Linked DNA regions of Canis lupus familiaris. The protein of the gene in region 2 interacts with the protein of the main gene of each other region in a biochemical or structural test. Links are inferred from orthologs where the notes say so. Each region holds a gene or a part of one and is shown on either strand. Other genes may lie near its edges.

The links.
Region 1: the proteins of NOXO1 (region 2) and CYBA form a complex in vitro, tested with the Homo sapiens proteins (3 studies listed by IntAct). The link is inferred for Canis lupus familiaris from reciprocal best matches to the Homo sapiens genes NOXO1 and CYBA.
Region 3: the proteins of NOXO1 (region 2) and NOXA1 form a complex in vitro, tested with the Homo sapiens proteins (2 studies listed by IntAct). The link is inferred for Canis lupus familiaris from reciprocal best matches to the Homo sapiens genes NOXO1 and NOXA1.

The regions. Positions count from the first base shown.
Region 1 is NC_049226.1:65,174,753-65,178,924, reverse strand, and holds the start of CYBA (cytochrome b-245 alpha chain), read right to left. Parts: upstream 2,804-4,172; coding exon 2,746-2,803; intron 1-2,745. UniProt on the Homo sapiens protein: Subunit of NADPH oxidase complexes that is required for the NADPH oxidase activity that generates, in various cell types, superoxide from molecular oxygen utilizing NADPH as an electron donor.
Region 2 is NC_049227.1:39,395,899-39,400,080, reverse strand, and holds the start of NOXO1 (NADPH oxidase organizer 1), read right to left. Parts: upstream 2,801-4,182; 5' UTR 2,650-2,800; coding exon 2,607-2,649; intron 2,285-2,606; coding exon 1,919-2,284; exon of another isoform or gene 1,511-1,918; coding exon of another isoform or gene 1,486-1,510; intron 1,295-1,485; coding exon 1,041-1,294; intron 947-1,040; coding exon 866-946; intron 695-865; coding exon 619-694; intron 519-618; coding exon 341-518; intron 192-340; coding exon 10-191; intron 1-9. Other genes in the region: GFER (FAD-linked sulfhydryl oxidase ALR), read left to right, coding at 3,852-4,106. UniProt on the Homo sapiens protein: Constitutively potentiates the superoxide-generating activity of NOX1 and NOX3 and is required for the biogenesis of otoconia/otolith, which are crystalline structures of the inner ear involved in the perception of gravity.
Region 3 is NC_049230.1:48,297,851-48,301,804, reverse strand, and holds the start of NOXA1 (NADPH oxidase activator 1), read left to right. Parts: upstream 1-1,151; 5' UTR 1,152-1,388; coding exon 1,389-1,565; intron 1,566-1,905; exon of another isoform or gene 1,906-1,995; intron 1,996-2,209; coding exon of another isoform or gene 2,210-2,234; exon of another isoform or gene 2,235-2,308; intron 2,309-2,444; exon of another isoform or gene 2,445-2,521; coding exon of another isoform or gene 2,522-2,824; exon of another isoform or gene 2,825-2,868; intron 2,869-2,884; exon of another isoform or gene 2,885-3,018; intron 3,019-3,954. Other genes in the region: EXD3 (exonuclease mut-7 homolog), read right to left, coding at 2,210-2,234; 60S ribosomal protein L10-like, read right to left, coding at 2,522-2,824.

The DNA.
Region 1 (4,172 bases), on a different chromosome or scaffold from region 2:
CTCACCAACGGAGCCCCCCAGGTGCCCCTCAACTGCTCTTTAATGACCCCCTCTCTGTCTCTGGGCTGTGTGCTGTGAGGTTCCCTGAGCCCCACCTTCCATTCCACAAATCCTCTCATCTTTACAGAGCATTCAATTCATTAACCTTTGATGACTTTTTTCTTTGACGTTCTGTGTTAGTTCACATCTTGCGCTGTCCTGTTTTTGCTATAAAACTCTGCTCCTCCCCCCCTCCCCGAGCAGTTTGGGACACTCGTAGGCATCAAGGCATGCTCACATTCTCAGGTCTTGAAGAGGCTGGGCAGCTCTGGCTCTGTGGCGGTGTGAGAGGGCCCTCCCCGGGGGGTGGGGGTGGGTGGGGGCACGAGCTGGCAGCTGGTGGAGTCTGGTTTCCTGCGGCAGCCTTGCAGACAATGTTCATGTTTGCCTCTGCTGGGGGGGCTTCGGGGTTTCTCCAGCCTGGGCCCAGCTCACAGGCCTCTCTCGGTCTGGCACAGGGTAGGAGACAGTTGGCCCTTCCCCACATGCAGCACAGGCCTGAGTTTCCACAAGGGTTTGTCTTGTCCGTGACTTCAAGTCCAGGCCTGGCTGCAGGTGGCAAGTGTCCTCGGGGTGGGGGGACCTGCTTCCTACTGTTTCCCATGCAGGAGGCCCTCCCCGGTGTGGGCCAGCCACGCAGGCCAAACTCCCTTGTTTCCACACTAGGCCCCCACATCCCACCAGGTAAGAGCTCGAGGCCCTGGGCGCCCCTTCCTTTGACCCAGACACATCTCCTTGAAGTCTCACTCTGCTTTTCCTGCCAGCAGATTTCCTATCCCTGGTGCTGAGCTCTGCTACATATTAACTTATTTTGTTGGCCGTCAGGGTCCGGGTGGGCTGGAAGAGGGAAGGGCGGCATTCTGCATCCAGCCAACACCCTTGTGTTTGAGCGCCTGATTTCCTGTCCTGAGCAGCAGTTCTGCTGCCTGGGGTCAGCAGGGGGGTGGGGGCGGGGGGGTGGGCAGAAGAAAACCCCACTAACTCACCAGGAAGGCAGGACTGTCTGCCACCCACCAAACGCTGACAGAGCCCTACTAGGACACAGCAGGAACACGATGAGGCCCCCGCTCCTGGGGGGCTCCTGGTCTCATCAGGGGGAACAAAAATCAACATTGAAACTGGGGAATGTGGTGCAATGTCCGGGGCTATGCTCCGCCTGATGCTCTAGAAAGACTCCTCCAAGCAGGCGGCTTTTTGAGCCGAGAAATGAATGGAGAAGCCAGCCAGCCACAGATGCTTCAGATAGATGTCTCCTCAGCAAAGGCCCTGCGGCCTGCTCAGGGGAACAGGGACAAAAACGAACCCTGTGGACGAGGCCCAGAGAAGGCAGGGGGCTGGAGGATCGGGTGCAGGAGAGGCCAAAATCGGTCGGGCTTTGGTTATGCGTCCCGCAAAGCCATGGGAAGGCTTTCAGTAGCAGGTGACACAATCTGGTCATAGGGGGTTTCCCACAATAGGAAAACCTGTGGAGCATGACTGCGGCTAGGCTCTCATCAGGCCTGAGCCATCCCCTGGAGGCTGCAGTTTACACCCAGAAGAAAAGTCAGCAAGGGAGGAAGCAGAGCAGGGCCCTGGGGGACCTTCTGACAAACTGTCTTATTTGATGATGGAGAAGGCTGAGCCCAGACCCCAAATGCACCGTACGCACAGCGGCCGTGAGGGCAGCCTGGGTGCCACAGCACCGCAAGCAGGAGCCCAGGCCAGGACGGCCAGCCTGCACACAGTGGGCCTTCTACGAATAGAGCCTGGAGTGGACAGCCTGGGGACAGAGGGGAGCACCACGTGACCCACCCACTGAGCTCTCTGCCACTCGAGATGCCCAGTGCAGGGGGTGACCTGCCTGGATACACAACACACTGCTAGATCCTGTACTCTAAAATGTGATCCCGCAGCGCAGGGCCGGGGAGACTTCATCTACCTCTCCGCCTTCCCTCCCCAAGTTCCCTCCCCAGGTGGAGGGAGGCCTGGGGGAGGAGGGTCCCAGGGGAATGGTGCTGGGCTGAGAGCCCCCCTCCTCAGCACATTCATAGGCCCTTCCTGGGAGTGGGAGGTCCCTGGTCAGGAGGCAGAGCCTCCGGCCCCTCTTGCCTCAGGCCCTGGTGTGGACTCAGCTCTACCCCACTCAGTCCGGAGAAGTTCCTGCTTGTGAGCACAGAGCTCGGGTGCAGACCCCATGCTCCGTAAGCAGAGCTCCTGAGCACAGGTGGCAGGGTGGCTGGGGGCTCTGAGCTGACCAGGCTCGCTCTAGGGGGTCTCTAGCCACCTTATGAAATCCCAGATGCCATTCTGTGGAACGGGGGGCCTGGGCCCCGACGGAGAGCCCCTGCCACCCAGGAAGAGAGGGAGCCCCGGCCCCCCACTCCAGGGCAGCAGGGCCACCAGGGCGCCCCCTTGCCGGGTTTACCCAACCCTGGGGGGCAGGGACTCCCCGGAAACCACCAAGGAGGAAACGCCTCTTCTCCTGGCTGCAACTTCCTCTCTCGGTGCGGCGGTCCGGCGGCGGGGCGGGGGTCATGGGCCGTCGAGGGGACGGCTGGGGCGTGGGCGGGGGAAGGGGCTCCGAAGCCCCTCCGCAGGCCGAGCGCCCCCGCTGCCCGGCAGGCTGCAGCCCGCCGACCCCCGCCGGCCGCCCCGGCCCGCAGTGGCAGGTCCCGCTTCCCAGCCCGCGCCCCGCGGCCCGCGGCCCGAGCCCCCGCGCGCACTCACTCAGGCCGGACGCCAGCGCCTGCTCGTTGGCCCACATGGCCCACTCGATCTGCCCCATGGCGGCGACGACCGCAGCTCGGCGGGCTCCTGCGACACTGCGCCCGCGCTCCCGCCGCCCGCCCCCAGCGCCCCGCCCCCAGCGCCCCGCCCCGCCCCGCCGCCCGCCCCCAGCGCCCCGCCCCCCGCCCCCAGCGCCCCGCCCCGCCCCGCCGGGCAGGTGAGGCTCCCCCGAGAGCCGGGACCCAGCCCTGGGGCCCTGTCCACCCCGGGCCTCCCTCCCCTCCCCGGCGGGGTCCCCTGCAGGCCCAGCGCCCCGACCCCCGCCCCAGCTCACTTCCTCCTCCCGGCTCCTCCCGGCTCCTCCCCGCTCCTCCCGGCTCCTCCCCGCTCCTCCCGGCTCCTCCCAGCTCCCTCGGGGCACCCGCGGCGGAGGCCACCGAGTTTCTCCCTGGCTGTGTGCCAGGCACCTGACCTGCCAGCTTCGCTCCCCAAGCATCACCTGGGCTGCCCAAGATCAGAGCCGTTGCCGGCGGGCTGGGCTACAGGGCGAGCACGCTGTGACCTGGAGGCACCCCAAAACGTGTGGGTTCTGCTCAGAGCTTGCAGCCTACAGCAGGGAACAGGGACTTCTCCCAAAGGAGGCATGGGCAGGCTGGTCCCAGGTTTAAAGGCCCAGAACCTTCACTGCGGCCACGCAATGGATGTCCCACAGTTAACCAAGGCATCCTTGGACACTGGCAGGCCAAGCCTCCACTGCCCCATCTGGCCCTGGACTGGAGCAGGTGTGGCCCAGGTCACACTGCAGCAACCCTCTGCTCACCAGACCAACTCCGAAGGACAGGATGTGCCAAACTTCTGGGAAAATCCAGAATGTAGGAGTGCATCCCTTTGTCCTTCCCCCTACCCCCAATGAGGGTCATAGCTGTCAGGTGCTTCAGCAGCAGTAGCCAGGGCCCCAGCCCCTGACCCTGGTGGAGGAGGGGCAGACAGTTACCCCTGTGTCCATCTCCTCCTGGATGCCTGGCCTGCCCTGCCGGTTCAGAAATAGAGAGGGGTGGCACTCCTGAGGTTTCACAGTCCAGAAACTTCTGGGCTATGAGGAATCACATCTATAACCCACACTCCTGCCAACAAACCCAATTCCCACCTTCTTTGGTGGACAGGGACCTAAGCCAGACCCAAACCACATCCTCACACCCATCAGAGCTTTAGTGACTGTGTCAGTCACCAAATGTGGGTCACAGCTAGTTGACAACTTTTTCAGGTGCTCTGCCCAGACCCTCCCAGCCTCTCAGCACAGGGACCCCAGAGCACTGGTGCAGGAACCAGGAAAATCACACCTGCTCCATCAGTGACGTTGGCTTTATTCCCTGCAGCCCACAGGGCTCCTGTGTAATGCACCCACCTCCCACTGGACACACACCAGT
Region 2 (4,182 bases):
CAGCCCCACCTGACGGGTGTCGCAGCAGCACGTCTATGACCTCCTGGGCCCTTGCATGGAAAGGCCAACCCTGCGTGTCCTGGGTGCTGAAGGGCTGCAGGCAGCGCAGGCTCTGAGCCTCCAGGCTACAGATGGCAGGGCTGTGTGGCGGGCGGCGGTGGGGCTCTTCAGGAGTGGGCAGGATCACCAGACTGGAAGGGGGGTGGGTGCAGGTGGGGGAGGGGGGGTGGGTGAGAGTGCCCGGGCGTCCCACCCTTCCCCGGCGGCCACCTCCCAGCCTCGCCCCTCCCCTGGCCTCCAAGGGCTTTCCCGGGCAGGGGACTGGGGGCGAGTGGGGTACCTGCCAGGTGGTAGCACTGGCTCCAGGTCCACGGGTTGCGGCTCAAAGAAGCCTGTGAGCACCGCGCTCCAGGACAGCTGCTCCGCTGCAGCCAGCAGTGCCCGAGTGTAGGTGTCCAGCAGCCGCAGGCGCGCCAGGCCGCGGCCTGTGCGCCCCCCGCGCACCAACAGCGATGTGTCTGTGGGCACGATGGGCTCAATCTGGGGGTCCCCGGGCCGCTGGCGCCCCTGCCGCCCCTGCCCCTCCCGGGTCCCCGCGGGCTCCCGCAGCGGCCTCACCGGGGAGCTTGGGGAGAATGCGGTCGGATCTGCGCAGCAGGCCCGCCTCCACCGGGAACGCCTCCTTGAGGGTCTTCTAAGGAAGAACCAGCGAATCCGCCTCAGTCCAGCGGTTCCCTCGGGAGGGTGAGGGTTCCTCGCGGGGATGGGGGTCATAGGAGCAGGGATCCTTGCGGGCACGAGGCCACCGCCTAGGCAAGGTCGGTGCTGGGCCTCGGGGGACAGGGTTTGCCGCATGCTCACTCACGTGGAGCTCCTTGAACTCAGCCCAGCTCCTTCGCACAAAGGTGTCGCTGCCGTCCGACCAGCACACGGAGAAGGCGAACGTCTGTTGGGAGAAAGGTTGGGGGCGCCTTGGAAGGGCCAGGCCAGGAGTTCCCTCCCTCCTCCTTGGGGCTGGCAGGGACCCCGCGCCATCCTACCTGAAGCCGCCCTGTCTGCACCAGGGCCGCTGCGCGCACGGACACCGGGTGCCGGGAGCCTGCCATCGCCGCCTCACAGCTCGCGGTCCTGGGCTTCTGGAACTGCCCAGCTGCGACCAAGGGGCCCACTGCTTGCAGCTCACCAGGAGGGAGGGCTCCCAGGCTCCCGGAAGATGACTGGAATTCCCCAGGTGCTCCCCCGCCCTGCCCTTGGGTCTCTCCCAGCTTCCTCACTGTGCCCAAAGCAGATCCGCCTAGAGGGACAGGAACACAGGGCAAGGCGAGGGGGCAGGGGCTGACTCTGTCTGGCATGAGTCTGGCCCCTGGGAGGAGGAGGAAAAGGAAGGGCCATCAAAGTGCCGCAGCCTGGCCTGACTCTCCCATGCCCTGTGTGAGACAGGTTGAGCCTCCCCAAGGTGTGCCTCCGCTCTGCCTCCCAACTCACCTGGGCGGCTGCCGGCCCTTGTCATCGGGAGCCAAGGACCCAGTACTGAAGGCTTTATGTACTTTGGCTTAATACTCACATTGGAGGAAAGGTCTCTCAGTGTTCCCAAGTCACAGAGGAGGAAATTTACATGAAATGGATAATTCAGGCTTTTCTGGATATGTTGGGGAGAGTGGACCTCACAGGCTCTTCTCCCGTGTGGTGGGGAGACCTGGGGCAGGACCAGGAGGGTCCCTGTCTGCAGTCACTGGCGCGTGGTGTGTGTGGGGGGATTGGTGACTAGGACTGTTTTGAGAGCTGCCCCTGAATTCATGATTTACCACAATTTACCCCGAACACAGCCTCTGAGACGAGGAGTGACCATTCCCCCACTAACAGGGCTGAAGCAGGGGTAGACCCTACAGTCCCCACAGGTGTGCTTAGGTGCCCCCACCTCTGGGCTGCTTCCTGAAGTGGAGGGCCTCCAGAGCTCCACCCAAGCCTGCTCTCGGTTGGCTCTTCCTGCTGTTGGGGCCACTGGCTCTTTGTTGGGACTCCTGCCCCAAGTCGTCCAGGGAGGGGTTAGCCTCTAGGTCACTCCCCGGAAAGTCACCCTGGCCTGGACAAAGGGCCTTTGTGGATCTGTCCCTCCAGCGTCTCTCTAACCTTCCCTGCTCACGGCCCAAGCAATGAACTCCTGCTGACAGAGGCCTCAATTGCAGGGTGCCTTTAGCCCAGCTGTCACGCTCTCCCCAACCTTCGTGGGGCCATGCTGAGGGGCTGGCCCGGCCGGCTGCAGGCGGGGGCAGACACTTCTCCCCTGGAAGACACAGAGAAACTGGGGCCTTCTAGAAGGGCACTAAGGCCCCCTCCCCGCCCCATCCGACGGCCCCTGTTCACACCCCCAGCAACCCTGGCTCCTTTCCCTCCTGTGCCTCTCCATGGCCCCCAGCCTCACCTGGCCCGTGGATACCTGCCCTCCCCCTTCCCCGCCCGAGCTCCTCACTAGCTCCTATGAAATCTGCTCAATTCCCAGCTCCCATGGCAGCGACAAGGCCCTGCATGTGCTCCCGCCCACCTTTAGATCTCTCCTCCCACCACCTTCCCCAGGTCCTGTGCCACTGGCTTCTGCCCATGCCCACCTCCAGCCTTGGCCTTGACGGCCTTCCTCCACTGAGTCCTCATCTTTCAGGCCTCTGCCTAAGTGTCACTCCTCAAGGAGGCCTCCGGGATTAGCCACTCCCTGTTCGTGGTCCCCACCAGAGCTTGTCAGTGGACGTGTTACTGTGACTCCCTTGTTTCTTTTTTTTTTTCTTTTTTTAAGATTTTATTTTATTTATTCATTCATGAGACACACAGAGAGAGGCAGAGACACAGGCTGAGGGAGAACCAGGCTCCCTGCGGGGAGCCCGATGCGGGACTCAGTCCTGGGTCTCCAGGGTCACGCCCTGAGCCAAAGGCACGTGCTCAACCGCTGAGCCCCCCGGGCGCCCCGACTCTCACCGCTGACCACTGGACAGTGAGCCGGGGGTCAGGGACGGATCTCGGGCCCCGCCCTGCCCAGCGCCCGGGCCAGGACTTGGAACAGAGCAGACGCCGCACAGACAGGTGCAGGTGACGCACGAGCGCGCGGAGGCTGAGGCCGCTCCCGACGGGGACGTGGACAGCGCCCCCAGGCAGCCCCGGGAGCCCCAGGCCCGCGCCGCCGGCTGTGCAGGCCCCGCCCCGCCCCGCAGCCCCGGCGCCCGTTGCCATGGCGCCCGTTGCCCGGGCCGACCCGGGGGACCCAGGCCCCGGCGCGCCGCGCTCTGTGCGCTCACCGCGCCGCTCCGCGTTGCCGAGGCGCCCGTCTGCCGACCGCAGGGCGCGCCCCGCCGAGGGCACAGAGCCTGGCCGCGGGCACGCGGGGCGGTCGGAGCGGAGCGATGGGGGCGTCCCGGGCCGCAACACGGACTTCGCCCCGGCCGCAGCCGGAGTCCACGGCGCGGCCGCGGCGCGGCTTCCACAACACGCTACTCTTCTACTGGAGGAAGCGGGAGCGCCGCCACGGACGACGCAAGCCGGGCTCGGGACGGGGACCGAAGCCCGGGAGCCCGGCCAGGACCCGGGTCGCCAGCCCCGCGCCCGCGCCCACCCGCACCCCGGCCTCAGGCTCGGCCGCCTCTCCGGCGCGCTCCGCAAGCCCCGGACCCGGCCCCGCCCCCCCGCCGGCAGCCGGCCCCGCCCCCGGCCCCGCTCCCAGCTCCAGCCCGGCCTCCGCGCCTGCGCCTGCGCCCTTGCCCGGCTCCTGTGGCCGCGCCCTGGCGGCGGCGCGCGCGCTGGCCTGGAGGCCGACTTGGAGGCCCCTCTGGAGGCCCAGCTGGCCCGGCAGGCCTTGCGCGGGCAACATGGCGGCGCCCGGCGAGCGGAGCCGCTCCGGCGGCGGGAGCCTTTTCTCCTTCCTGCCCGGCGGCGCGCGCTCGGAGGTGATGGACGACCTGGTGACGGACGCGCGCGGCCGGGGCGCGGGGCGGAGAGATGCGTCCGCCGCAGCCTCGGCCCCCGCGCCGACCCCCGAGCCCCAGGTCGCCGAGGACCCTTCCCGGAGGCGGCCCTGCCGGGCCTGCGTGGACTTCAAGACGTGGATGCGGACGCAGCAGAAGGTCAGATGCCCCTGGGGAGCCCGGCCTGCAGCCTTTCAGCCGTTCGCGCGCGGGGTCGCGCCCGGGCGGGGCGGGG
Region 3 (3,954 bases), on a different chromosome or scaffold from region 2:
CAACCCAGCAAAGCCATGGTGCCACCTAGTGGGTCAACCACTAGAGAGAGAGGCAAGAGCACCTGGTGCAGGGGCACGGAGGGGCGAGGGAACGCAAGTTGGGACTGGAATTCCGGACCATAGTCCAGGTCGCTGGAGCCCCCAAGTGCCCAGAAAGCATTTTCTAGGAGACTGACAGTCGGGACGGTAGTCTTGTCCTGAGGCAGATGACCGTCCCTAACCTGGTAGGCCTCATCCAGTCCCCAGAAGGCCTTGGGAGGACAGACCTGGCTCCCAGACTCACGAACAGCCTGAGTTCTGCGCCCCTGCAGGTTCCTCCAGGCCCCACAGCTGCTCGCTGTCAGGCTCCCCCTCTGCCCTGGGCCTGGTTTCCCCGGAGAACCCCGACCCACGTGGCTAAGAGCGTGACAGCCAACCAGACGCCTAGGGGGCATCAGTAGGGACATGTGCTGAGAAGGCAGGGGCCCCTGCAGCCCCTGCAGACTTCCAGGGCGGCTCCTGGTGGGGGGCAGGTGCCACCTCCAGGTCCACAGGTGCCTCTGTCTTGGGGGGGGGGGGCTTCTACTTTCTAGGTGAAGGAGTTCCTGGGGGTCACGGAAGCCCACAGGGCACAGGGTGCTCCGGCCTGCCACAGGGGCGCGGCGGGTGGGTCCCTGTCCCAGAGAGGGGACGGGGCGGGGCGGGGCAGGGGCTGGTGGGGCCCTGTTCCCGAGGGGGTGTGGGTCAGGACAGGTGGGTCCCTACTGAGGGAGAGGGCGACGAGGCAGGTGACAGGGACACGGGGCGGACGGTCCCCACGAGTGTCACCGGCACCTCCCCACGACCCGCCGTCCCGGAGGTTGGATTCGGGGACCCCTCCCACGCTGGGTCTCTGCTGTCCCCGCGGGCCGCTGGGCGAGGACCCCAACCCTGACCCCGGCCCTCCTGGGCCCGCGCCCGGCGTCGCTCACCTGAGCCCGCGGGGTCCGCCCGGAACCCTGGCCCGGCCGCGGCCGCAGCGATCCCGGACGGCTTTCCCCGGCGCACTGAGACCCACCCGGCCGGGGGCGCTACCGGCGGGGAAACGCGAACGCTGGGAGCTGAGGGCGGAAGTCGGGCTGGGGGCGACCGATTGGAGGGAAGGGGCGGGGCCGGATGTAGAGGGGGCGGGGCCGCGGGGACACCAGGGGCCGCCTGGGGCCCCGAGGGCAACCGGGGGCGTGGCGCACCTGCGCAGGCTCACCGACTGCACGGGCTACGGCTCCCGGCGCCCACTCCGCCGCGCCTCTCCGGACCCTGGAGCCCCTGCTCCGCGGCCTTTGGCCCCCAGTCCCGCCGGACGCCGCACGGCACCCACTTGCCCGCCCCGTTCCAGCCTGGAAGCACAGGCCGGCAGCCGTCACAGCGCCATGCCCTCGCTAGGGGACCTGGTGCACGACTGGCACCGGGGCGTGCAGGCGGTGGCCCGTGGGGACTGGGGCTGCGCCCTGCGCCTCTTCTCGGGCGACCCGGACCCGCCCGCCAAGATGTGCTTCAACTTGGGCTGTGTGCACCTGCTGGCCGGGGACCCGGAGGCCGCGCTACGGGTGAGCAGGGTCCCCGACAGCCGCGCACCCAGGGTGGCCGCGGGGACCCCACCTGTGGGGAGGCTGTTCTCTGGCCCTGGGGACCCAGCTGCCGGGGTGAACCCGGCGTCCCCGCCCTTCTTCCTGACGGTCATCTGGGGGATGTCCCCCACTGTTCTGCCTCAGTGAACAGCTATGGCAGGTGGGAGCTGTGTGGTGGGGGATCCCACCTGAACTCAGGGCCACGATGGGGGGCGGCCTCCCCCATCATCTCCACGTGGTAATGACCACGTGCCAGATTCTCCAGTCACCAGGAAGGGCTGGGGTGATACTGGCTCAGGTGCTTGGTGTCCTAACATACCCGGAAATAGGCTGGAGGCTGGATCCTGCTTGGAAGGGGCCTGCCTGCCCCTCAAGGTGTAGGGCTTGGAGCAGGAACTTCATCAGACACCTATGGCGATGCGCAGATGCTGTCTTGTTGGTACCCACACCCCAGATCTAAGTACTCATCTTTTCCCCAATCTGTTCCCCAAAAGAACCAAGAGCTCAGGAGTGCACACAGGTACACATGCACAGCTCGTCTGCTGAGGGGGCAGCACAGAGCTGCTCTCTGCCCTCTGAATGCTTTGTATTCTTTCAAGTGATGCGTATTCAGGGGTACGTACAAAAATCCAGCAGCACCCCACTCATCGTTCCCGTCCCCAAACCTCTCTGACAGAAAGAACCAGGATCCAGCAGTTTTCAAGACGATCAGTGGCAGTTACCTGAAAAATGACACAAATGAAAAGAGAATTAGATGTTATAGGAGAGCATCAGTGTGAATATCTTGCACAACTTCATGTGGGAGTGAGAGGGAGACTGGGCAATGGGTATAAGGGATCCCCTGTTGCTTCTTTTTTTTTTTTTTTTTTTTTTTTTTTTGACAGGAAGCAGGATTTATTGGTGGGCATGAATAGGGTTCGGGTGGTGCAAGGTTCTCATGAGTGGAGAGCCCTCCATTTGTCCAAGGGGCCACGATTAGGGATGTATTTGACCCCACAGCCATCTGGGATGAGCCGCTTTTCGGCCACCATATCTTCAAATTCGTCCGCATTAAACTTAGTAAAGCCCCACTTCTTGGAGATGTGGATCTTCTGGCGGCCAGGGAACTTGAACTTGGCCCTGCGTAGGGCCTCAATCACATGCTCCTTGTTCTGCAGCTTGGTACGGATGGACATGATGACTTGGCCAATGTGGACCCTGGCTACTGTGCCCTGGGGCTTCCCAAAGGCACCTCGCATACCTGTCTGCAGCCTAGATTGGAGATAACATTATGTCAGACCTCTAAGTCGACCACAAAGGGCTGTCTCCAAGGTCCCTTAGGGCAACCCATACAATCAACAGGCTGCATACACTACCAAGGAGGCTACTGTTTGCAGCCATGGCACACTGGGCCCCCATGGAGAAAGAGCACAGTCGGCTTAATTGGCTGCCCCCTGTTGCTTCTTACCTTTGCATATGAGTCTACAATTCTCAGTAACAATTTCAGGGTTTTTTTTTTTTTTAAGATTTTTATTTATTTATTTATTAGAGAGAAAGGCAGAGACACAGGCAGAGGGAGAAGCAGGCTCCATGCAGGGAGCCCGACAGGGGACTCAATCCTGGGTCTCCAGGATCAGGCCCTGGGCTGAAGGCGGCGTTAAACTGCTGAGTGACCTGGGCTGCCCGAGTTTCAGGTTTTTAAAAAAGACTTTATTTATTTATTTGGCAGAGAGAGAGCACAAGTAGAGGGAGTTGCAGGCAGAGGGAGGGGAGAAGCAGGCTCCCCGCTGAGCAGGGAGCCCAATGTGCGGCTGGACCTCAGGACCCTGGGTCATGACTGGACCTGAAGGTATATGCTTTACCGCCTGAGCCACCCAAGGGCCTGTCTTTCTAATTCAAAAAGATAACAAGTGTGGGACACCTGGGTCCTGGGGTGACCCTGGGGTCCTGGGATGGAGTCCTACATCCGGCTCCCTGCAGAGGAGCAAAGCAGGCTCTCTGCAGGGAGCCTGACACAGGACTTGATCCTGGGACTCCAGGATCAAGCCCTGGGCCAAAGGCAGGCACTAAACCGCTGAGCCACCCAGGGACCCCCCTAAATAAGATCTTTTTTAAAAAAAGATAACAAGTGTGTCATTCTGTACGAACTATCAGAAATAGGAGTTTAGGGATGCCCAAGTGGCTCAGTGGTTGAGCGCCTGCCTTTGGCTGGGGCATGATCCTGGATTCCCGGGTTCGAGTCCTGCATGGAGCCTGCTTCTCTGCCTGTGTCTCTGCCTCTCTCTGTCTCTCATGAATAAATAAATAAAATCTTAAAAAAAAATAGGAGTTCAAAAAGACGAGAATGTCGCATAAGTTGGAGCCCCGGGGTGACTGGTGACCGTGCTGG